Linked DNA regions of Ovis aries. The protein of the gene in region 1 purifies or fractionates together with the protein of each later gene. This does not show direct contact. Links are inferred from orthologs where the notes say so. Each region holds a gene or a part of one and is shown on either strand. Other genes may lie near its edges. The genes, in order: HSF1, HNRNPA2B1 and BAG3.

What was found.
Region 2: the proteins of HSF1 (region 1) and HNRNPA2B1 purify together in Homo sapiens (affinity purification with mass spectrometry; 3 studies listed by BioGRID, with this or other methods). This does not show direct contact. The link is inferred for Ovis aries from reciprocal best matches to the Homo sapiens genes HSF1 and HNRNPA2B1.
Region 3: the proteins of HSF1 (region 1) and BAG3 purify together in Homo sapiens (affinity purification with mass spectrometry; 3 studies listed by BioGRID and IntAct, with this or other methods). This does not show direct contact. The link is inferred for Ovis aries from reciprocal best matches to the Homo sapiens genes HSF1 and BAG3.

What each region holds. Positions count from the first base shown.
Region 1 is NC_056062.1:13,583,496-13,591,585, forward strand, and holds the start of HSF1 (heat shock factor protein 1), read right to left. Parts: upstream 5,548-8,090; 5' UTR 5,381-5,547; coding exon 5,264-5,380; intron 1-5,263. Other genes in the region: ribosome biogenesis protein BOP1, read left to right, coding at 5,708-5,797, 7,208-7,402. UniProt on the Homo sapiens protein: Functions as a stress-inducible and DNA-binding transcription factor that plays a central role in the transcriptional activation of the heat shock response (HSR), leading to the expression of a large class of molecular chaperones, heat shock proteins (HSPs), that protect cells from cellular insult damage.
Region 2 is NC_056057.1:71,301,060-71,309,149, forward strand, and holds the start of HNRNPA2B1 (heterogeneous nuclear ribonucleoproteins A2/B1), read left to right. Parts: upstream 1-3,732; 5' UTR 3,733-3,900; coding exon 3,901-3,906; intron 3,907-6,625; coding exon 6,626-6,661; intron 6,662-6,758; coding exon 6,759-6,869; intron 6,870-7,035; coding exon 7,036-7,182; intron 7,183-7,398; coding exon 7,399-7,609; intron 7,610-7,754; coding exon 7,755-7,856; intron 7,857-7,931; coding exon 7,932-8,012; intron 8,013-8,090. Other genes in the region: CBX3 (chromobox protein homolog 3), read right to left, coding at 1,429-1,452. UniProt on the Homo sapiens protein: Heterogeneous nuclear ribonucleoprotein (hnRNP) that associates with nascent pre-mRNAs, packaging them into hnRNP particles.
Region 3 is NC_056075.1:39,285,732-39,293,821, reverse strand, and holds the start of BAG3 (BAG family molecular chaperone regulator 3), read right to left. Parts: upstream 4,770-8,090; 5' UTR 4,417-4,769; coding exon 4,231-4,416; intron 1-4,230. UniProt on the Homo sapiens protein: Co-chaperone and adapter protein that connects different classes of molecular chaperones including heat shock proteins 70 (HSP70s), e.g. HSPA1A/HSP70 or HSPA8/HSC70, and small heat shock proteins (sHSPs), e.g. HSPB8.

The DNA.
Region 1 (8,090 bases):
GACTAACAACCTCTCAGACTTCCCTGGTTTCTGACGACCTTGATGGTTCTGAGGACTGGGCTGGTATTGTGTAGAATGTTGCTCAATTTGGATCTGTCTGATGTTTTTCTCTCATGATGAGTTGAGGTTACATAAGTTTCTGGAGAGGAAGACCACAGAGGTGGTGTGCCCGGCCCATCACGGCATGTCAGGGCACAGCCGTCAATGTGACTCAGCACTGCTGGCAGAGGCCTGCCTGTCCGGCGCCTCCACTGTGCAGCCCCCCGCCTCGCGGGACTTCTCGGCAGGAAGGCACTGTGTGCACGGGCCACCTCTTTGAAGGGGAAGTGAACACAGAGGTAACCAGCAGCGATTCTTCTGCAGCGGACACTTGTTCCCAACACATTCTGCTTATCCGCCTTCCCTCTCACATCTACTTCTCAGTCTTAAGATTTTCGCTCTACATTCTTTAGCACACAGAGCATTTTAGTAACTGTTTTAACAGTTACTAGTTCCCTGCTAGTCAGTTCCACCACAGCTGGTCTGTTACTGTACCTCCTTTGTTACCGGTGACATCCTTCTGCCAAGTGGCCCACCTATTAGTTTCAACTGGATCCCAGACACGAGGAATGTTACCACACTGTGTCTGAGTTCAGTCGTCCAGCCATTGTCCTTTCAAGAGGGCTGCACCCTCAGTTCTGAAGGAAGGGATCAGCCTGATCCTTTCAGGCTTGTCTTTAAGTTCGTTCACACCGCATCGGGGCAGCTTTTTCTCTGGGGCCAATACAGCTGCACCCTCAAGCCTCGGCTGTTCTGAGGCGCAGGGCAGGCTCTACTCTCAGAGCAGACTCTACGCCGCAGCTGTGAGGACTGGGATGGCTCGTCTGGTCCCGGGTGGGCCTAGGGTGCCCAGCACACAGCTCCTAGTGCATGTTCTTTCCCTGGAAGGTTCTTGGGCAGTTGCCCAGGTCTCACGCCACCAGCAGGTGAAGCAGCACTTAGCCAAGACCTGTGGGACCTCTCGCATAGCTCCTTCTTGCTAGTACCAGGTTCTGCCAATGCTGGCTGCCTCAGCTTCACCAAAGGCCAGGCTCTCAGGGTTTGAACATTGCCTCAACAGAAAGCAAGGGCTCACCCGTCCTTTCGTGTAACAGACCTGAACACTGTTGGAGGGTGAGTCCATATTGGGTGTGTCCTGCCAACCCAACCTTAAGGGCTTTTAGAAGCCTGGGAGGCTTGCTGGTGAGTCCCTCACAGGACCCAACGCATCTTCCCTCTTGCCTCAGGAGTTCAAGGCCCCTCCTTCTCTGCTGACCCCATGTCTTTCCTGAAGATCTTGGCTTACCCTCAGACACAAGAGGGACTAGTGATGGGACATACGGCAGGGGAAGGGAGAAGCTGATGCCCAGCTGCTAGCTGGCGAGCAATGCCTTTGCCTCTGAAATGCAGGGCTTAGTGAATATCCAGTCTTGCTATAAATTTGGAGCCTGTGGCCCTATTTCCTACAGAACTGTGAACACCCTGAAATGTATACAAAGTTCTGCATATGAGCACATCTTTATAGAGGGAGGGTCTGTCTGTGAGCAGATTCTCCAAGAGCTCCACATCAACAGGATTAACCACCACGGTGACTCCAGTGGTCCACCTGCACCTTTCAAGAGTCTGCCCAGAACAGAAGGCCCGTCCTAGTCCTCCAGCCAAAGAGATGGGTCTGCGTGACATGTCCTGGGAGTCACGGGCATGCAGCGGGCACCCGCATGCGGTGAGAGCGCCAGTGCTGTGTGGATGCGGCTGCAGAGCAGCTTGGTGTCCTTCCCGGCCTGTCTCTTCAGCCAAGAAGGAGCCCGCTCGCACCACCCTCAAGTCCCTGTCCTATTTGTGCTCAGGGTCGAGCTCTCCAGCTCCCGCCCCACACTTGGGTCTCCAGGCCCAGCTGAACGCAGGGGCCTCTGCTGACTCAGTCACCACTGGGCCCAGGGCCAGGGGCTCTGGGGCCGCTCCCAGCGCTCCCAGGTTGGGAATCCCTGCAGCCAGAGGTGCAGACGTGGGTCCCTAGCCTGTGATACCTGACGAGACTGACTGCTCTGCCCAGGGTGGGTCCTGTGGGCCCCCTGATCCCTCTGAGCATACGCGGCCTGTGGAGCCAGGCGGGCTCACATCCGCTGTGTCCATCTCTCTCCCTCCAGCCCCTTCTGAGTCTCTGTGCCCCTCCTCCTCACACCTCCACCCTCCTACCTCAGCAGGAGGGACAGATAGATCTCTGCCTGGCTCATCCGTTTCTCTGTCTGTCCATACATATATCTGTGTACCTCTACGGAAGGTGAAATGGGGACTCTCTTGCAAAAAAATACAATTCTATGAACACCTGAGTACTGATCAGTCCAAGTATGGCCGGGGTCCAGTTAAGAAAGCAGGTGGGGTGGACCAGAGCCTGGACCCCACCGGCGAGGGCCTTGCGCTGCCCTCTACCCAGGAGACACGGCATGCAGCGAGGGCAGGTGTGAGCCACAACTGTACACCAGCGAGAGACCGTGGACTCTGGGTCCGGTTCAGCCGTCCTCCTGCTTTTCATTTGTGTTTCCTAGCGTCTCTGAGACTCAGTTCCCGTGTCTGTAAAAGGCCAGCTGCCACCTCTGCGTGGTGCCGTGGGAGGAGGTGAACTGATGCCCTGGGGCTGGGCCTCCTGCTACGTGGAGGGCCGGAAAGGGCTGGCCGGGTCCTGGGTGGCAAGCTCAGGGGGCACCAGGGGCCTCCAAGGCTTCAGTGCCCCTTGCAGCCTGTGCTGTGTGCTGGGTGCTCCTCCAGCCTTTCTTGGCCACTGCCAACCCCCGAGGGCAGGGCGGAGGGCCTGCTGGGGCCCACCTGGCTCCCAGCTAGGAGGAGGAGCGGCCTGCCTGTTGTGGGAGCCCCAGGAACAATCCTCAGCCACCTCGGAGTGGTCAGGTGCAACTGGGGCCCTCGAGGAGTCCCGCAGAGAGCTGGCAACCTGACTACAGGCTGCTCTGCAGCCAGGGCCTCCAGAGCGACCCTCTAACTGCAGGCGCTCACACTGGCCACCTGGGATGGGGCCTGGTTTGGCGACACCCAGCTCCTAGGCAAAGGAGGCCCTTGCTCTTAGGGCCTCATGGTGCCCACAGCCTAACAAGAAGAGCCTCCTTCAGCAATGCACCCACCCTCCTACCACTGTTAATGCTGTCTTGAAGCCAAACAGGCCTGATTCACGGAGCATCCCATGGATGCAGCTGCCACGCTCACCAGGTTCCTTCCCAAGGTTGTGGGGCCTTCGGTCCCACAGGGCTGTCTGAGGGGCAGCCCTGGCATATTCTGTGGTGGCCCCACACCAAGCATGGTAACTGACCGGGGGTCTGGGAGGGAAAGGAAACCAACATGACTCTCCAGGTAGGGCCTCAGACTGTGCGGAGGATGCACAGCACTGCTGGGGCTGGAAAACCCCCCACCCCGCCCCCTTTTCCTGTCTCTGGGGGCAAACACAGGGTCCTCGGGGCAGAATGGGGAGAAAAGTTCCAGCTGGAAGGGAGGCACCAAGAGAACAGATGCCAGAACATTCCAAGGCCTCTGGAAGCCAACGCCGGGCTTCAAGACCGCAGAAGTCTCCCCCAGCAGACTTTCTGCCAGAGGCCTGGGGCTTTGTGTGGGCATCGCAGAGGACTCAGGGAGAGGGCCATCTTCTTTCTCAGGGCCAGGCAGCTCCACAGCCCCTGCCCAGCCTGGAAAAGGGCTTCCTTCCACAGCTGAACCAGTGCTCAGGTTCTGTCCTGCCTGGCACCACTAGCCCCCTGCCCGCTGCACCCCGCGCCAAGCACATCCTGGTTGGCCTAAGGACAGAGGGGAGGGAGGTTAAATGCACGGGCTCCAGCCGGCTGCTCCCACTCCTTCCAGTTTAAGTTCCAGCAGGGCTGGTGGGTGGTGCAGCCACTGTGTGTGAGGCTGTGGCAGGCTTGATCCGTCCTGGTTTCCAGCTCTAAGGCCTTGCTGGGAACACAGGAAGTGGGACCTGGAGAGCTCGCTGGCAGGGCTTTGGCTGCTGCCTCACAATCTTTAAGCAGAAACATCAAGCAGATCAAGAGGCGATTATCCCAGTAGATTAAGCTCAGACTATCCCAAAGGATCTCCGATGCCCCTCCCCAACCTGGCTAAGAGTATTTCCTGGGAGTTTAGGGGACAGGAAAAGAAGAGAAATGAAGAATAAAGACAGAAACCTGGGGTCATTTCCTTGGGTCAGCAAAGCTTAGGGCCTTGAACAAGGGGATGGTAGTAACAGGACAGGCTTGGGGAAGGAAGTACAGCCTCCTCTTGGGGAACGCTGCGCAGTTACAGAAGCAGGCAATAGGGATGGAGCGTGGCACACAGGTGTGTCACTGGGACCAACACGAAGTGTTCCCTACAAGGACGCAGTATGATTCTGACTCTCTTTACCAGCTTTGAGACAGAGCTTCAGCAAATAACCCAGGAACCAGAGGACCTGGCCTCCTGCTCTGGGCTCGCCTCAGCTCAGACTGCTGCTCCTTTCTAACGGCTTAACAGTGTGAAAGAGAAGTACTTAGAAGAATCTGGGAGAGCCAGCGCCCTCAGGAGAGCAAGTGTGCCCGGAGGCACCCAGAGGTTCCGCAAACCAGGGCAGCCCAGGCCGCACACCTGCGGGCCGCGAGCTATGGCTCGGGCCTTTCCCGGACGCAACGTCACAGCCCGGACGCAGATTCTCAGCCGCAACTCCAGACAGTCTCTGCTTTACCTCTGCAAGCGGGGTAGCTGTCTGGCCTGCAGGGTCAGACCATGGAGACGAGCCTGCTGCCAGGCAACTGGAGGCAGGGGCGTGGATAGAGAGGCCCCGAGAGGAACGAAATAAAAAGTGGCTCTGGGGGAACCCAGCTGTGGTATCCGGACACGAGTTCGAGACCCACCACAACTTTATGACGTTTTGCTTTGTTTTTCGGTCCCTTTCCTTTTCAGTAGAGCAGCGCCCTCCAATACCTGCGCCAAATCCTCATTTCCTCGCAACAGCTGCCGACCCCACCACCCTGGTAACTCATCTGAGAAGCTGTGGGGTCACCTGGCCACCACACTCGCTACGAAACTGGGCGCTGCCCTCAAGCCAGGCGCGCTTCCGCCGTCGTCTCACAATTACTCGGCGAGAGACCGAGGAGAAGAGGCCCTTCCTGCCCAGACCCGGGCAGCGCGCACCGAGGGGAAGCCTCGGACGCTCTCCCGAACCCCCGGCTGTCCGCCCCTACAGGCCCCGAGGCCGGCGCGCCCAGCCCCTCACCGGGCTCCAGCAGATGAGCGCGTCCGTGTCCGGGTCGCTCACGAGAGTCCACAGCTTGGTCAGGAAGGCCGGGACGTTGCTGGGCCCCGCCGCGCCCGGGCCCACGGGCAGATCCATACCGGGCGAGACGGGAGAGGAGGAGGTAGCAACCGCAAAGAGAGGCCGAGGGACGGGCTAGCGCAGCCGCCGCGCCTGCTGCCTGGGCCGCGCTGCCGCCGCCCGCTGCGCACACACGGCCCCGGGGCCTGGCATGGCCGCCGCCATCTTGCGACGGGCGCGCTCCCGCCGGCGCCGCCCGCCCGCGTCCCCACGGCGCGCGCGTGCGCGCCGGCCCAGCCCATTTGGGCCCGCCTCTCGCCCTCTGACCCTTCGGGCCCCGCCCCCGGGCCCACGCGGTCTGTTAGCTGCCGGAAGTGGCGGCGCGGGTCCTGGCGGTCAGGGAGCATGGCTTTCGCGCTGAGTGGCGCAGTGGCGGCGGCGACAGTGGCGCGGCCCGGGAAGCGGCCGCCGGAGCCGGAGCCGGAGCTGGAGGAGGTGACCACGGGCTGCTCGAGCGGGACGGGGTGGCGCGGCTGGGCCGCACATGGCGGCTCCGGGGCGGCCAGCGCCGGGGAGCAGGGCCCAGGAGTGCGAGGAGGCGGTTTACCAGCTCTGTGCTGGCGGTGGCCTCGTGGGGGCGTCCTGGGCAGGGGGCTCCCGTAGTGTGGTTGGAGAAGTGTGGGCCGGAGCGAACTAGCAAGAGGGGCTGGCATCGTGCGCGTGGCCTCCCTAGCCCTTTGGATTGTGGTTCCTGCATTAAAGAGGTTTGAGCATGTTAGTACGTTACTGATACGTCGGATACGTTGTAAAAGGGCACGAGAATAGGAAGGCCGTGCCTGCTGTATTGGCCGCATCCTTTTTTTAACTGCACCTAAAGCCATTCCATTCAGACATGCAGCGGAACCTCAGCTGGGTTTGGGGTGTCATCAGCCCTCCAAAGATTGTCCAGCCGCGCCTGCCTAAGGGAGCACTCCACGTTGCTAGGTTGTCAGGCAGCCCCTTTACCCTGACCAATCCTGCTGCCCTCCTGCTAGCAGGCATTCTGGGCACCAGGCTCAGCAGCCATATGTGTTTGTGCCCAAGCCATTTGTGCCATTTTTATTTGCTGTTGTAATTGTGTAGCTTACTAAGCGTTGAAGTAGTGTGTATCAGAGTTATTTCTGTGGAAGTTCAGTTGAATGCTGCTAATTGGTGAGTGCAGGCTTTCCTGTTAGCTGAGAGAATTAGTAGCTATTAAAAAGCAGAAATCTAGGGTTCTCCATTCAAGTAAGTGCTTGCTGAAAGTCTGTAAGTTCTTGTTTCCCCTCTCTAAGTGCATGGGTCTTGTGAACTTAGGGATTGGGTGGTGTCTGGTCAGCAGACCTCTGCTCAGAGGAAGCTCTAGTCCTATCCCATGGGGTGGTGAACCAGAACACTTGCTTTTAAGTAAAGTTTGCATCATTTTTACGTCTCTTCAACCAGTCTTTACAATTTACTGATAAATTGTCAGTCCCTATCTGGTTGGATAGAGTCCTCTTCAGGCTGGAAAAGCGCCTCAGGTTGTGGTCCTCTCTGCCTGTCCCAGACCCCACTCCAGTGCCCTGGTAGCTCTGGAGATGTGAATGCCAGATGTGGCTTTCGGGCGTGAAGGGTGGAGAGCTGGTGCAAGTGATGTGATGGAAATTGAGCTCCTTGGAAAGTCCTTCTCTTGTGAGACTCTAACTGAATGTCTCCTCCAAAGGCAGGAGGCCTGCTGGCGGTGGAAGTGGGTGGTGAGGGAGGCCTGGGTTGGGTGGGTGGTTTTGGTGGAGCTGGAGGCTTGTGGCCTGAGGGCCGTGACCGAGGAGGCTGGCCACACAGGCTGTGGGTCAGCGCTTGGTTGCCTGGTGGGTGGGCTTGGGGTCATCAGTGCCATGCCTCTTGCAGCCCTCTCTCCTCGGCGCTCCGGCTCCCAGCAGCAGGCTTGGCAGTGATCCTGGCCTTAGTGACAGCGAGGAGAGTGTGTTTTCAGGCCTGGAAGATTCCGGCAGCGACAGCACTGAGGATGCCACTGCCTCGGAGGAGGAGGGGGCGGGGACCAGTGAGCAGCGCAGCAGGATGGGCAGGAGCCCTGGGCAGCAGGTAGGTGAGCCAGGAGTCTCCTGAGGGCTCCCCGCACCCCAGATGACCATGGCCAAGATAGCGCCTGCCGGGCATCGGGCTCTCTGAGGGCCCCCGGCACTGATCTCTCCCACTCCGTGGACCCCAGGGCCTCCTTCCTCCTCCCTTGGGCACAGTAAGGGCGGGGCAGAATGCCGCTTGGAGCCGAGGAGCCCTGTGCTCTGTTCACGGTAACCCAGGAACCCTGACGTTACTTCTCCAGGGTCTTGGGCTGCCTGCTAGACTTAGCTGTCAGCTGGCTTCCTCGGGGCGAAGCCCAAGGTGGGATTTCTGTGCAGTGACCTAAGGTGGGCCCTTCCTCCGCCTCCTTGACAAAGAGTGACATCTTCAAGCGGCACCATTTGGGAGAGGAGGTGTTCCTGTCCACTCCCTTCACTCTCCTGGTGACTGCAGTTCATGGCTGGACAGTCTTGCCCCTGTGACAGCCCTGTTGTGTTCTGCGTTAGCCTGCTTCTCGCATCCCGAAGCCAATGCAGCGCTGCTCGCCTATGAAACCTTCCCACCACAAGGGCTGTTCTCTGGCTCAGGGCCCTCTCGAGGGTCTGCTGACCACCTTCCCCTGTCACAGCCTGTGGCCACCCTGTGTCATGAGGCCCTGCCGTGTGGGTCCTCGTGCAGCCTCGTCAGGGAGCATCCCCACCACACAGCT
Region 2 (8,090 bases), on another chromosome or scaffold:
AACGCAGAAAATTAAAAGATTAAAAAAATTTAGCAGAGGAAACAAAATATTTACTACTATAGCACTCATAAGCTAGTTTCAAATGCTCATCTTTTTCAAGAGAAAATCCACTCACTTTCCCACTTAAAGCACACATTACCTCACAACACTTAACAAAATTATTTTAAAATGAAAAGTAGATACTGAAGACTATCAAACTGTAAGCAGGAGCAATTTAACAGAAGCATCTATTTGCTTTTTGTATCTATATATCTATCCCCACAGTCTCAGGGACAGGTAGCTCCTTTCCCATCCAATACTTTAAAGATACTGGTGATTGTAAAGCCAATTTAATTATCTACATTTTGGTTTACTGATTACGAAATTTGAAAGACAGTTCATTCCTGAGACGTGTTCGAAGATGCTTTGGGCTTTCCCAAAAGCATGGGAATAAAGAATGCCACCAGACAGGCTTTATATTTCATATTTAAACATTTCTCAGGATGTCTGACTTAAAAGTGCATATCTAATGATGAAACAAACAAAAAAACCCACCAACTTATCCTTTTGTTGTGAAACCCAAGGGCAGAAGTTACAAACCAAAAGGAAATGTTTTGCTCATTTAGATGTTAACACACTAACCTTCATATACTTGCAATTATTAACACAATGTATTAGAATTACATAACTGAATTTCATGATTTTTATGTGAATATTTCAGGGCTTAAATTAAAATCTGTAACTTAACAAGGCTGAATACACATATGTCAACAATCTGTAGAACTTTTAATGAAACCTAAGAATGCAAACTGTGGGTTTAAGAACTGCTGGAGAGAAAAAAAATTGCTCAGAAGATCTAGTCTTCTCTCTTTTCTGGACATGCGTGATGTTTTTCATGCTGAGTATTTAAAAAAACTGCACTGCAATGATTTAAAGTCCTTCTGTATTTTAGAATAAGCACGTTTGAAACATGACAGTAACCAAAACAATTTGAAAGACACAACAACTTTCATCTCAATCTAACTGTACAAGATATCCGTTTTATAAACAGGGCAATACTGAAAATACCTGCTTTCTCTAGAATTCAGTATAGAGTAACTTAGAGAACAGTAATCAACAAGGCTTTATTACTTTGTCTGTCTATACCTGTAACCTTCTTCCATGTCACATAAATTTGTGTATCTTTCCAAAATAAAAATACTTGGTAAAACTCACATTGTGCTACCCTCCCAAAATTAGGTTTCTTTAAATGAATCGAAACACTATGAAGTCAAGTGAATGTAATAATTTCCTTTTATGCTCCTAACTTCTCCCCATTAAGTTGTGGGGGAGAGGGAACTTGGAACTACATATGGGTGTAATTTCCCAACCACAGAGGTGCAGTTATAATTTTGGGAGGAAAAAAGTTTGAGTTAGATCCTTAAATATTTTAGGTTTTCATTAACTTACCAATGTAGTTTTATTGGAGGCCATTTTTTATTGCAGACTTGAAGAGCTATTACTAAAAAAATGCATGACAGTTAAGAAGTTTGTAAGACATAAAAAGATAGCTACACGTAAGTTTTTGTTTTGATTCCAACCCCCACCTAGTTAGCTCATGTCATCAAACATATACAAATCCAGAGGAGCAGTTTTAAGATTCTGAGTAAACTAGTGATACGTGCCTGAGAGTATATCAGTGCTGTAAGTTATCTATACAACCTTACTGAGAACCTAGTATCCGCGAAAGCTTTACAGGGTAAAAATTTGACAAATTTTTTTTTTTCCAATCCGAATCCCATTTAAACCATAGTCAGCATTTTAAAAAACTAGCTAAATAACCTGGTTCAAATCAGACAAGTGTCCAATCGATTACAATAATTAGTGTGAATTTCCCCTCTAAGACATTAACAATCGGAAGAGTCGTCTATGTAATTTAATTCTAACTTGGTTTCTTCTTAGAGACCTTCTCAATCACTAGTTGAAAAACTAAAACATACCGAGATGCTCCAGTTACATTTCGTGCCACTTTTGAAAACAAATCAGTTATTTCTGCACTTTCATCCGCTCCCCTTAAACCCCTACCCCACCCGGCTTAACGAGGCCTTAGCGCCCGGCCCCTAACCCCGCCACACGAGAGCGCGGGCCTCGTGGTCAGCGCGTCTGCGGGGAGAAACAAAGGCCGCGGCGCGGGGGCTCAAGGGCACTGCGCCACGGGGCCCGTGCCTCTCCCCACCCGGCGGCGGCCACGTAACGGAGCGCCCGCCGCAGTCTGCGGACACTCGGCTGCGCGGATGCGGGAGAATGCACCGCCCTCCCTGGAGGCCCAAGTCGCCGACCAAGCACGGGACGGGAAGGAAGGCCCCCTCAACCTCGTCCGGGATGGGGGAGGGGAGGAAAAAATGCGCTTTGTCTAGAAATAAGGCGGCTGGCGCCACAGCTTTCAACCTTGAGAAGAGTCTCATCCCCTAAACCAACTACAGACGCCGGCCCGAAGCCAGGCCCGCCACGGGGTCTCTGTTCGCTTCTCCTTTCCTTCCCGCCAGGTCCTGACTCAGGGTCCGGCGAGGAAGATAGGAAGCGGGGAAATGCGGGTCTCTGGGGCTTATGCGGTATCTTAAGCAACACCACCGAGTGAAAGCTAGAGAAAAAAAAAAAGACACCGACTTCACCGCCTCTGAGCTGCTCCGGGTCCCGGGTCTGCGACGTCTCCGGCCCTGCGCGCCTCAAGCTCCAGTCACATCCGAGAGGGAGGGGGGCTGGGGAGCAGCGCTGCGCGCGGGGCCGCCGCTGGGGGGAGGGGAAGGTGGCACCGCCCACGCCAGGCAGCCGCCAGGGGCGGGGTGGGCGCGCGCCCCGGGGGGTGGGGCCGCGCGCCGCGCAGTGCCCGCCGGGAGCCCGAGCCGGAGCCCGGGCCCGACGGAGGGGGGAAAGCAGGGGGCGGTGACAGCGGCTCTTAGAGTTCGCGGCGTGGCGTCTGGTGGTCGCCCGAAGGGAGGGCGAGGAGGGAGCTGAGGGCCGCGACCTAAGCCTACTCAGCGGAGGTGTTTCCTGCTTTGCTGCCGCCTTAGCGACTGGCGCCAAAACAGGACTCCGCCCACTTCCTCGCCCCTGGGGTTGGGTGCCTCCAAACGTTGGGGGTGGGTGGGAGGAATCGGGAACTAAGAACGAGCACCACTTTCGACTACCTGAAATGTGGACCCCAAAAACATTGGCCAGGGTTAGGGTGGTGGATCGTTAAGTGTAATTTGTTGACTAGAAGTCGCTTCGGGTGTTTCCGGAAGGGGTCAGTCGGTTCTCCGCGCAGAGAGGGGAGGATAGGAGAAGGTGGGGGAGGGAAAACACAGTGGAAGAGACTACAAAGATTTTTTTAAAACTGGGGACCGAGGAAAAGCCATCGAAGCGTAGCTGTAAGGACCACTTCCCGGGATGAGGGGGCTGGACTTTTGGGTTGAGGATTAAGCTCCTCCCAACAGCGTTAATTTCAAACTGCGCGACCGTTTCTCACCTGCCCTGCGGGGGCAGTCCCCAATTCCGAGAGACAGAAATACGCAGGACTCGAGCCTTCCGCAATTTACAGAGCCCTTTTACGCAACTGACGTCCAGCATCAGTGCTGGCCTTAAAGGGGGAGGGGCACGTACTTGGCGCTAGGAGGTCGTAGAGCGTTCCCGCCATTGGCGGCGGTTAGGACGTTTACGCAACGGCCTGACGTAGGGAAGACGCGTTAGTCGGGGGGAAGGTTCTAGAAAAGCGGCGGCAGCGGCTCTAGCGGCAGTAGCAGCAGCGCCGGGTCTGGAGTGGAGGTGCTCCAGCGGTGTTGTTTCTCGAGCAGCGGCAGTTCTCACTACAGCGCCAGGACGAGTCCGGTTCGTGTTCGTCCGCGGAGATCTCTCTCATCTCGCTCGGCTGCGGGAAATCGGGCTGAAGCGACTGAGTCCGCGATGGAGGTAACGGGTTTGAAATCAATGAGTTGTTGGAAAGGGCATGGCGAGGCCGTTGGCGCCTTACTGGAAGTCGGCCATCCGCCTCCGTGGGAGAGCGGCAGCGAAATTGGGCCACTTCATAAGCGGTTGGTCTCAGGATATTTTTGGAGAGGGGTCGTTAGCAGAGGCCTAATTGTACAGCACCTTCCCCACCCTCAGCCTCACGGCGCCATTTCCCTTTGCTGGGGGTGGGGGATGGGGAGCTTCCACATGGCGGACGCAGCCCCACTTTACTGAAAGTGGGGCGCGGAGGCAGGAATTCCTACTCCGTTTTTAAAGAAGGGTGGTTTGGGGGTCCTGGCGTCCCCGCGTTGGAGCGTTTCGGCGGGTTTTGGGTCCTAGCGAACCGGGCTGCGGAGCTTCCCCTCCCCCCTCCCGGGAACCGGATTTGGCGGCCGCCATTTTCATTTCTCTCCTTCCTCGCAGCGATTTCTTTTTAATTCTCTAGATTTGACTAGCTTGACTTTTTCAGTGAGGACTAGAAGTGGGTAACTATTCATTTCTTTTTTCGGACTGTTTTCGTGCTGTTTCGAGGTGGATTCCGAGTGTGTAGGGAGCTTGGAGCTTTAAAGTCCTGCGCACCTCATTAGAGGCTCGCTCCTTTCCCCTCGATGAAATGGCGCCATTGCGTTCAGGAGCCGCACCGAAGGGCGGGGGGAGGGGCGGCGTTCTCCTGGGCGGTTTCGCTCGGCTTAGGAGGTAAAACCCTCTAGGGTGTTGGGCCCGGTTTCACGCGTGCCACGGTATAAAGACCTCATATTTTGTTTTTCAGTCCTTGTTTGAGTAACAGTTTTACCTGCGTTTCCGGTGATTGAAAAGGCAGTTGAATCGTAGAAAACATAAAATGAAAATTTTAGAGAAGATTATCGATTTTGCGGGAGGCCGTGGGGAAGGTGGTCTTTGGGGGGGGCGGTGTTCGGTTCAGAATCCTTTATTTTCCTGACGGATTCTTTTTTAATCGTATAATTTATTTGTATTTTAAGTAGTATTTTTACCGGGGAATTTAGTCTTTACTGGGTAAGGTTACGGGTGTTTTTTTAGTGATAAACTTGAAATTATGAGTTTAGTTGTACTCTGATTAAAACATGGCTCGGTCCCTCAATGCGTGTTCTGCTGTATACAAAACTTTTATTAGGCTGAGCCACTGTGTTTTTGAACTTTGTCACTTGCTTTTCTCGTTTATGTTTGCAATCATGGTTGATGATTACATTGATAAGCATAAGGTCTCAAGCGAAGGGGGTCTGCCTGGGTATTTTCATTGACCCTAAGCACGCTTATAAAATAACTTTGTTTGTAATCGATAGTGGACAGCGGGTAAGTTTGGAAAATGAGGTAAGTAATGAGTTTTTGCCTTTTGTTAGTGATTTGTAATGTTGTAGATGTATTTTAGTCTCTTTATTGGGGTTTTAAAAGGCCAGTTAACTGACAAGTGTTTGGAATAAATAAAATATGCTTAAGTGAAGTGTACAAATACCAGTATGTCAAGTTACCGTTTTAATAGATTGTTCTTTTAAGTGTTTGATAAGCTAGTTTGAGAATTTGTCTTTTCAAAAATTTCAGAATCTTAAAAGTAACTGTACAGGCAAAGAAATCTCTGCATTATTACTGTTTTCTAACATGTTGGGAGAATATCATGCATGGAGAGAAACTTGATGGAACTATGGGTTGAGTGTTGTAGTTCTACTTAATTTACCTACGTGCACTTGGTGGCTAACTTTCGTTTCTGAATGTTATTTAACCTAGTCAACTGAAAACCAAATAAAATGATCCAAGCTTCCTTAACTGATAGCCCCAAATACAGAGCTATTAATGTAGCTTATATGCGTGCTGGTTTGTAAGGATTGAGATTTCAGCTCAGGCTCTCTTCTCACATGAAAGTTGTTTTATGCTGTGTAATTTGCCAAAAGACCACTGAGTTCTACATGGTGAAGTGTAAGTCGTAGTGATATTTTGTAACTAGAGAGGATAGTCACAGTGGTCATTTAAATATTTTTATGGTTTTTGAAAATTGAAGTTACAGTGTCTTTTACTGTATTTGTCTTTTGGTTCAGTAATAGTGGATTGGGCCATCAACAAAACCAGCTATGTTAAAATATGTGCTTTAGAGACCGTCAATCATAAAAGTCATTTTATACTTTCGTCAGAAAAGATAAATTTTGAGGCTATTTTGCCACATATATTGAACGTTTAAGATTTTCTCTGGAGAGTTGGTATATGAGGAAAGAAAGTCAATACTAAGTTTTTCAGAGTTTTGAAAATTGAGTTACATTATAATCACCACCAGAGGGAGCAATGAAGGGAAACTCATTTCTTAAATGCTAAATCCAGAAACAAATGGGAACTGGGTTATAAAGCGAAAGTTGTTATATTTTAAAAATTTGTATTTGAATATGTAAAAGTGAACTCTGTTCTAAGTTATAGGATCGAATGCAGATGTTGATAAGACTCTTAACTTTACAGTCACCAGGGACTAGATTTGCTCTTCTTTCTTCAGAAAGATTTTTTTTAAAACTAAGTGATGCTATATTTGTTTAAACTCATTTAATGTCAAGTAAGTTTATATCAAGCATAATGATTTTGAAACGTGTAGTTTGGCTGAGGCAATTTTTTTTTGGTGTAACACAACTAATATGCAGTTTAACATATGGTTTAAATTTGATGTAAGTTTTTTTTTTCCCCCCAGAAAACTTTAGAAACTGTTCCTTTGGAGAGGAAAAAGGTACTCTGCCAGCAGGTCACCTCATATTTAAGAATTTTATTTCCAGCATACAAAGAGAAAATGTAAATAAAAATTGAAATGCTGTTTTCCTTTGCAGAGAGAAAAGGAACAATTCCGTAAACTCTTTATTGGTGGCTTGAGCTTTGAAACTACAGAAGAAAGTTTGAGGAACTACTACGAGCAATGGGGAAAACTTACAGATTGTGTGGTACGTTAATTGTGGAAGTCCTTAGGGGTACTAATCCTTTAACTGTTGGATTTCTCTGTTAAAGACGTTAAGTGACTTAAAGAAACTCACTTAAATTTATGTTGATTATTTTTAAATGCTGTAAGTAATGAGATTAAATGGTAACATCACTACTTTGTATTTCAAGGTAATGAGGGATCCTGCAAGCAAAAGATCAAGAGGATTTGGTTTTGTGACTTTTTCTTCCATGGCTGAAGTTGATGCTGCCATGGCTGCAAGACCTCATTCAATTGATGGGAGAGTGGTTGAGCCAAAACGTGCTGTTGCAAGAGAGGTGAGCAAATAGGCAACTTGTTTGTTCAATAAACAATTTGGGCTGAAATTCTGTTTCACAGTTAGTGGCTTTTCAAAGAACAAGGTGCTTTATCATAAAGGTGCCTTGCTTAGTATTTGGCCATAAGATAGAAGCCATGTTTATTACCCAGATGGTGTGCTCTTACTCCTATTTGTGGTTTCTTCTGTCAGGATGTCTTTTTTCCTCTTATTTCAGGAATCTGGAAAGCCAGGGGCTCATGTAACTGTGAAGAAGCTGTTTGTTGGTGGAATTAAGGAAGATACTGAGGAACATCATCTTAGAGATTACTTTGAGGAATATGGAAAAATTGATACCATTGAGATAATTACTGACAGGCAGTCTGGAAAGAAAAGAGGCTTTGGATTTGTTACTTTTGATGACCATGATCCTGTGGATAAGATTGTGTGTAAGTGTCTATAAGTGCCAGGATTGTAGCTCTTGAACATTTTAGGTTTTGGGTATGTTAACACCTACAACTTTGTTAAAAAGTAAGCTTGTAACTTAACTATTATAGGATACTGACTTAATGGACTCTGAACTTTTCATTCCAGTGCAAAAATACCATACTATCAATGGTCATAATGCAGAAGTAAGAAAGGCTTTGTCTAGACAAGAAATGCAAGAAGTCCAAAGTTCTAGAAGTGGAAGAGGAGGTAACTTTTAATTCCATTTTTTTCTTAGGATTTATTTGTGTAAATGTTAGTTACTAACCAGGGTGTTTATTGTAGGCAACTTTGGTTTTGGAGATTCTCGTGGTGGAGGTGGAAATTTTGGACCAGGACCAGGAAGTAACTTTAGAGGAGGATCTGGTAAGTCCACCTTTAAAGCTGAGGAGGGTGAATGTGCTTGAAAAAGTTTTGATTGGAGTCTAGGAAGTCTGACCTACT
Region 3 (8,090 bases), on another chromosome or scaffold:
TCCAGGCTCCATCCCTCCCCCTGCCATCCTCATCGTCACCCCCAGAAACTCAGGCACCTGCTGAGTTTCACCAGGAAGGAAGGGAGGCTCGGGAGATAGCTCTGCAGGTTTAGATGTGAAGCAGGCTCCCTTGAGGATGCCAAGGCTCACACAGGTGCACACAAAGTCATAGCTCCCCCACGCCACCCCCTCTAGGATGTGGGATCATTGTCCTTTGGTGACTCCCAAGTGCCCGGGCGCCAGAATCAAGAACCAACAGGGCAGCTTTTTCTGACATATAGATTTCTAGGTCCTACCCTGAACAACCTGGACCCAACAAGGGAGTACGCACAGCTGGCAACCTGTGTTCTCCTCAGGCTTCCCTGGAGACTGCCAGGCTCGGGAATCCGTGCCCAGGCACCTCCAGGACCGGAAAAGCTAGAACTGCCCTGCTCCTCTGCCCAGGGAGGTTTGCAAGGGAGCGGCACAGCGCCACACTCCAAAGCATCTGGCCTGTTTATTTCACAAGGCGAGCCAAAGGAGCGGCCTGCATAGAAACTGTACATCTCAAAGAGGATGCCAAGCCCTCTTCCAGAGAAGGGGCCTGGACTGGTAGGAACTTGCCAGGAGACGTATGCAGAAAATCGATATCCAGGAAGACTGCAGGTGGGGAGGTTCAGATTCTCAGAGTGGAGCTGGAGTAGGCCCAAAGCCTTTGCCTTTAGCTGTCCTGCCTCTGCAGTGAAGGGCAAGATACTTTCACTTGCCCCCTCTTTAAAAATGGGATGAAAAGTCACTCTAAACACCTCAGGGAACCGGGAGAGGATCAACTCTAAGACAACAGCAAATAAAACTAAACCATACACAAAGTTCTAGTCTTCTTCTTTCCAAGAAATTCATTCATTTACCCATATGATTAAACTGCAAACACCCCAGAAACTGTCTTCCCCTGAAGACGGCTTTCTCTGCTTTTCATGTTCGGTGAATAGCTCTTTACTGACTGACAGCATCTTCCCTGGAAGGTAAGGATGCTCAGAGGGTCCTCGTAGCTCAGTTCCTCTAAAATGACCCTTTGTTTTTTGCCAGAGCTCTTTTCTCAATCCACATTAAGAAACCAATTTCTGATATAAAGTGCTAGTGAAGGATATTCATTTCATGGCAAATAGATGGGGAAACAATGGAAACAGTGAGAGACTTTATTTTGGGGAGGGGGCTCCAACATCACTGCAGATGGTGTTTGCAGCCAAGAAACTAAAAGACACTTGCTCCTTGGAAGAAAAGCTATGACCAACCTAGACTGCATATTAAAAAGCAGAGACATTACTTTGCCAACAAATGTCCTTCTAGTCAAGACTATGGTTTTTCCAGTAGTCATGTATGGATGTGAGAGTTGGACTATAAAGAAAGCTGAGCACTGAAGAACTGATGCTCTTGAACTGTGGTGTTGGAGAAAACTCTTGAGAGTCCCTTGGACTGCAAGGAGATCCAACCAGTCCATCCTAAAGAAAATCAGTCCTGAATGTTCATTGGAAGGACTGATGCTGAAACTGAAACTCCAATACTTCGGCCACCTGATGCGAAGAACTGACTCACTGGAAAAGACCCTGATGCTGGGAAAGACTGAAGGAGGGAGGAGAGGGGATGGATGACAGGATGAGATGCTTGGATGGTATCACCAACTCAATGGATATGAGTTTGAGTAAGCTCCGGGAGTTGGTGATGGACAGGGAAGCCTGGCATGCTGCAGTCCATGGGGTCCCAGAGAGCCAAACATGATTGAGCTACTGAACTGACTGAAAGAGTTTCCACTGTATTTATTTTCCATTGTATTTATTCTGGAGTGAGGTGTCATTCACAGAAGTTAAAGTGAATTAGTCACATAGTTGTTCTGTGTACATCAAAGCACAGTCTTGAAAGCCATGAAGCCCACAGAGCTAACGAAGTGAATGTTAGTTTTCTCCTTATGTTCTAGTGCCACGTTGAGAAATCTCAATTAATTTGGTAAGCAGCTCTTTTTTTGAGTTGATCACATCCAGCCATCACCATCCAAGTAGTCACAAAAGTCAGAAGGGCAGAAAAACAATCAAGTACTCCAGCCTTCCCAGTTCACACTTAAATTTCATAGAAATTTAAGAAATTTAAGACTCTTCTACCTTCCTCTGAACAATAAACTGCCTCTTAAATAGGACTTTCCGGTGTAGGTCTCTCTTTGCTATTGGTCCTGGCTGAATGGCCTTTGGAAACACATGTGAACTCTCTGGGTTTCTTTCTCAGAAAAAGAGAGGCTGAGCTAAAAGATCTTAAACGATCTTTCAACTTTAAAATTCTGTTAAATTTTCAAATCAACTTTTATGGCATCAAACTTCTGATTTACTAGCTCTTATGTTCTACTTGTTGAGAAAAATAACAGTAACTTAACCTGTTCCCCCCGCCCCCTTGCCTTGAAAAAGTTTGTAAAACCACAGCCTAACCATCCATCATACATAAGATCTCAACCTGCTGGGTGAGTTTCACGTTGAAAACCAAGCGCCAACAATGTGGCATGTACACTGAACTCACAGTGGATACGTTCCTACTTGACCTACACTCACCACCACTGACGCCAGTGGATTCTGACTCTTCCTGTCTCTATAGGAAGGAAGCCTCAAAAAGACAGGTTGGTTTTTTTTTTGGCCTCAGTAAAGATCTACACCCTTGCAGTCTGCAGTAACAGAGCTGGTTTAAAATGAGCTTTAGTTTCACTCAATAATGGGCTGAACAGACAAGCGAAAGGAATACATGGTTATGTCGATCCCAGCTAATTACAGCCTCTTGAAATAATTTTCAGGAATAAATATACAATTAATTTCTCATAAGCATAAGCTGCTGATTATACAATATCTCACTGTTGGGCACCAGAGTTTCATAAATATTTTAAAGGAAAAAGCTGCATAAAACTGAAGATGGTTAACACAGATTTTTTTCTTCTAAAACAATGGTTTATAAAACATTTTTAATTCTGTGAATTTTTAAATCTTAAAAATAACTTACCAGCTCTTTATGTCTTCTATTTTGCCCAGACTATTTCTTTTTGCCAAGCTTTACGTTTTGAAAAAGCTCAAAGTTATAAAAATTACAAGAGCAGTACAATTAGTTATAATTTTTTAAATTAACAGACTCATTCCAAGTTTATATTTTCAAATTTTCATGGTTCTAAGGATTAAGTAGTATATACACCCCTGCGTATATGTAAATGAGGCATACTTCTAATACAAAAGTATTACTACTAAATTATTTGTGTATTGGGGATAAGAAAAAATCCTAAATATTTTAGTAGCATAACGAGAAAGGGAATGTGTTGATTTTTTTTTTTTTTTAATCTCTTTCTGACCAGGGTGAGGCAGTATCTAAGGCAATAGTCAACTAGGAGACAGTCTCACATCTTCAGTTTAGAAATTGCCTGGAAGATTGCATCTTATTTTTAACAAGTCATACTAGAATATATTCCTAGTGAGGACAACTTTCAAACAATAATAGAGTTTTAATTTCAAATACAGAAGGGAAAAAATAAAGAAAAGGAATGCATTTACATCAGTCTCCTGAGTCACTCTGTGCCTGAGGTGGGAGAGTGAACTCCAGATACCCTCAACCAAGTTTAGGAACTTGAGGATGTAAAATTCCTAAGAGACCCTAAAGGACCCCCACAGAAGCTTGCCAACGGTCCCCTGGCGTCTGCCAAAGCACGGTCAGCAGAGAGAAAGGAGGATCTGAGCCCTGGAAGCCGGGTGGAGACCGTGGCAGGGCCTGGCCCGGGCCTTGGTGCTGAGCAGGCCGGCCACCCGTCGTCTCCTGGCCCAGGGCCCCTCGAATGGAGCCGGTGGACGGGACCTGGTGCCACCGCGCGGGTCCCGCTTCCCGCCCGACCCCCGGAAACCAAACACGGCCAAGGGAGGGCAGTCCTCTTGGGAAGCTCCCCAAACTGGCCCAGACGCCGGCCAAGGGCGGGCCTGGAGAGTGGGCTCGTGGGGGGCGCAGCAGGCCGACCCCCCTGGGAGCTGGCGTCCTTCTGGGGATCCGTGCATTCCAGGCGGCCTTCACTGACCTCCGAGGCACCGGCTGCGGCCGGCGGGCACCTGGCGCCTTGCGTCCCCGCAGCCGGGCCCAGTCCAGCCGCCCCCGCCCGGCCCTGTCCCTAGACTGGCCGTCGATGGGGGGCTGGGGGGAAGGTGGAGGGGGAGCCACTGGCAAGGGTGCGGCGCGGGCCTTGCTCACCTTGGGGCCCTCGGGGGGCACGCGCGGGTCGTTCCACGTCGTGGTGCGGTTGTTGTGGTCCACGAAGAAAGGCCAGCCGGTCTGCGGGTCGATCTTGATCTCCCAGCCGGGGGGCAGGGGGTCGCGGTCGCTGGCGCCGTTGCCGGACGCCATCTGCACCATGGGCGAGTGGGTGGCTGCGCTCATGCTGGGTCGGGGTCGGCCCGGAGGGGCGGCCGCCGGGGTGCTGGGTTGCAGGGTGCCTGGTCGCGGGGTGCCGGGTCACGGGGTCGCGGGGTGCCGGACCTCCAGGTGTAGGGTCGCTCGCTGGCCGCTGCCGGAGCGGAAAGTCGGGAGCGCCGCCGACGTGTCCGGGAAGCCGGCGCCGGGCACCTTTATGAATTAAAGGAGGGGGTGACGTGGCCGGAGAGGGCTGGAAGTGTCTGGAAATAGCCTCCTCGCTGCCAAAGGGGAAGGAGGAGATAAAGGGAGGTAGCAACTGGCCGGCTAGAAACTTCTGGTCCCATCCAGAGAAGTTGGCGGCGACGCGGGTTGGATGCGGAGCTCCGCCCTGAGTCATCAGCTATAATCGGGGCGGGGCGGGGCGTGGGCGGGGCGTGGGCGGGGCCTCCGCCGGCCGCCCCTCCTCCACCCCGCCACCTCTTCCCCCTATTCGCGGCTCCCCGGGTCGGGGGCTCCTGGCGGAGTCTTCCCTGAGCTGGGCGAGGGGTTTGCATCCGCGGGATCCCTGTGTCGCCGAGCGGCAGGTCGAGCGAACCCCCGGGGACGTCATCTGTGTGTCCTGGGCCGGTTTCGGTTTTCAGATTTGCTTGGTCTTCTTCGAGCCGCGTGGGTGTTCCCGGGACTGGCTCCTTCGTGTAAAAACAAACTCATCGTTAGCCTTTTAAGTCGTTGGGGATTAAACTAGAGTCTCTCCCACCTCGCCTTTGTACCCCCAGATTACTGATACTCCGGGACATTGGTGACCCTCAGTTAATCACTTTTCCCCATGGGCTTAAGGGCCGTCCGGAAAGGGCTCTGGAATGTTGATCCGACACCAGAAGCAAGCCAGGGCGAATAATGGAAGTACAAATAGAAATTCACCTGCCTTTCTTTCGAATCCTAAAGAAAGATTGCATCAGCGCATGCATGTTGCTGAAGCACATGTCTTAAACGTAGACTCTGTCGTTGCAGTGAAGAACTTTAAAGAAAAAACATTCTTTGGGGTTTGGGGCTTGTTGATGGTGCAAGTTGGTTCTTGCTATCTTAATCTGACCTTCATTTGGAAAGTAGTGTAAATCATGCGTGCTCAGTCACCTCCGACTCTTAGCGACCCTGTGGAGCCTGCCAGGCACCTCTGTCCAGGGAATAATACAGGAGTGGGTTGCCATTTCCCTCTCCAGGGGATCTTCCCGACCTAGGGATCAAACCCATGTTTCTTGCACTGCAGGCGGATTCTTTACCCACTGAGCCACCTGGGAAGCCCTTTGAAAAGTAGGAAAGAATACAAATTATGAAAAAAAATTTGTGTAATGAAATGGTGGTTGCACTTGTAACCTCCACCAAGCACCTCATTTCCTCTGGGAGAGAGAGAGAAAGTATGCCCCCAGAGGTGGTATGTTGGGAGGTCTCATTTTAGATTTTTAGGCCTGCAGGATCATTCCCTTCCCCAGAAACATTTTTGAGAAGATGCCTTGGGCTAAGTAATATTGGGCCCAATATTCCAACTCAAATGCAGAGGACATTCTGGAACCCTCAGAAACACTTTTTTGGAGTCTCTTCCCACCCCCAAATTACTCCTTTTAGAGCAAATGCTGAAGAGAACTGCCAATCATTTTCAATGGAATGGGGGTCTCACTTACATAGGTCTACTTACCAGCTTTGAAGTACAAAAACTCAGCTTTGTGAAAACACAGAGATGTTTAAGCCCTGTACTATGTCAGGCTTTCCAGGTGGCACAGAGGTAAAGAATCTACCTGCCAACAAGAAGATGCAGGTTTGATCCCTGAGTCAGGAAGTTCCCCTTGGAGAAGGAAATGGCAACCCACTCTAGTATTCTTGCCTGGAAAATCCCATGGACAGAGGAGCCTGGCAGGCTGCAGTCCATGGGGTCACAAAAGAGTCAGACATGACTTAGTGACTAAACAACAACTGACTCAAGTCACCACCAAATACATAAGAGACTGAGGTATAAACCCAAATGCTAGTGCACCAATTTACCATAAGAAGTATTATTATTGAAAGAGCTGGGCCTGCAAGTGCACTAGTCAGTGGGCCTCTTTTTTATTTTTACTTTTGGTCGCACTGGGTGCCACGTGGGATCTTAATTCACTGACCAGAGCTTGAACCTGTGTCCCCTGTATTGGAAGTACAGAGTCATAACCACTGGATTGCCAGGGAAGTCCCAGCGGCTCTCATATTTTTCCTTATTTCTGAAGCCTTGAGCAGAAGGTTGGGCCCAGAGTCCGTATTCAATAAATATGGATGTTTATTGAAGGTTGATTCCAAAGTGAATGTTTATTTGTATTTTCTTCCTTTGCTTGATTTCACTACAACTACATTTAAAGACGGAACATTCTTTGCTAGTGTTAACATTTGTTTGCTTTTTTGTTAGATTTGCTAGAGAAACAGGGAGGAAACAGTTTCCTCTGGGATTAACATACCCCACTTCTGAGAGTTATAGCCCATCAGGGGTTTCAAGTGGGTTTGTCTACAATGGAGTCATAAATCTTGGAGAACTGTCTAGAAGAAGCTCCTTTAAGCCATGCTGAATAATGAGGCACATGTCTACTCTTGATGGCTTTTTCTTTTTCTAGATCTTATGACACTCATTCCCCAGGGGCTATAGACTAGATATTTGTGTCCCCCAAAGCTCATATATTGAAACATATTCCCCAATGTGATGCCATTTGGAGGTGGGTCCTTTTGGAGATGCTTAGGTCATGAGGATGGAGCCCTTATGAATGAGCTTAACGCCCTTATACAAAATAAATAAATAAATAAATAAACCCATAGAGCTCTCTCCCTGCTTGCTTCCACCATGTGAAGGCACAGTGAGGAGATGGCTGTCCTCTGGCACCTGCTAGACACTGAATCAGCTGGTGCCTTGATCTTGGAATTTCCAGCCTCCAGAACTATGAGAAATACATTTCTATTGTTTATAAGCCCCCCTGGTCTGAGTTAGTCTGGTATAGTAGCTCGAATGGACCAAGACACAAGGCCTTCTGCAGTTCATTTGCCTATCAGAAGCTGAAGCATGACCCTGAATTTCCATTTTTCTCTTTCTAATCATCATTGAGTCTGTAGATGGCACCACCTCGGTACTCGTTGTTTATGGGTATCCTCTCTTTCTTCAGTACCACCAGCCTAGTCCAGGTCATCCTTGTCCCTCGTGTGGACCCTGGAAACAGCCTCTTAGGTTGTTCGTGTCCAATCCATTGCCAAAATGGTGGCCAGAGTGACCATTTTCAAGCACAAGTGGGCCATGTCCTTTCTCTGGTTAGAATGCTTGAATGGCTCCCCATCGCCCTTTTTATCTCCAAATCCAACGCTCATTGGCCTGGTGTGTAAAAGACCCTTCTTCCACTCTCTCTGATGCCCACTCTTTGCTGGCTCTGCTGGACTATATATATCATGAGCACACTACCTCCTCAACCTTCTTCACCACTGCTGACAGCTCCCACACCCTTTGCCTGGCTGACTCCCCTCCATCTCCAGGTATCACCTTTGGTATCACTTTCCTTTGCCTTCCTAGTCTGGGTCATGTGTCCTTTCTAGATGCTCCCATACAAATCCTGGGGCACCCTATCAAGTGTGCTGCATTGCAGTTGCTTGCCTGATGGTCTGATTTGCTATGCACTGAGTTTCTTGAGCCTAGGAGC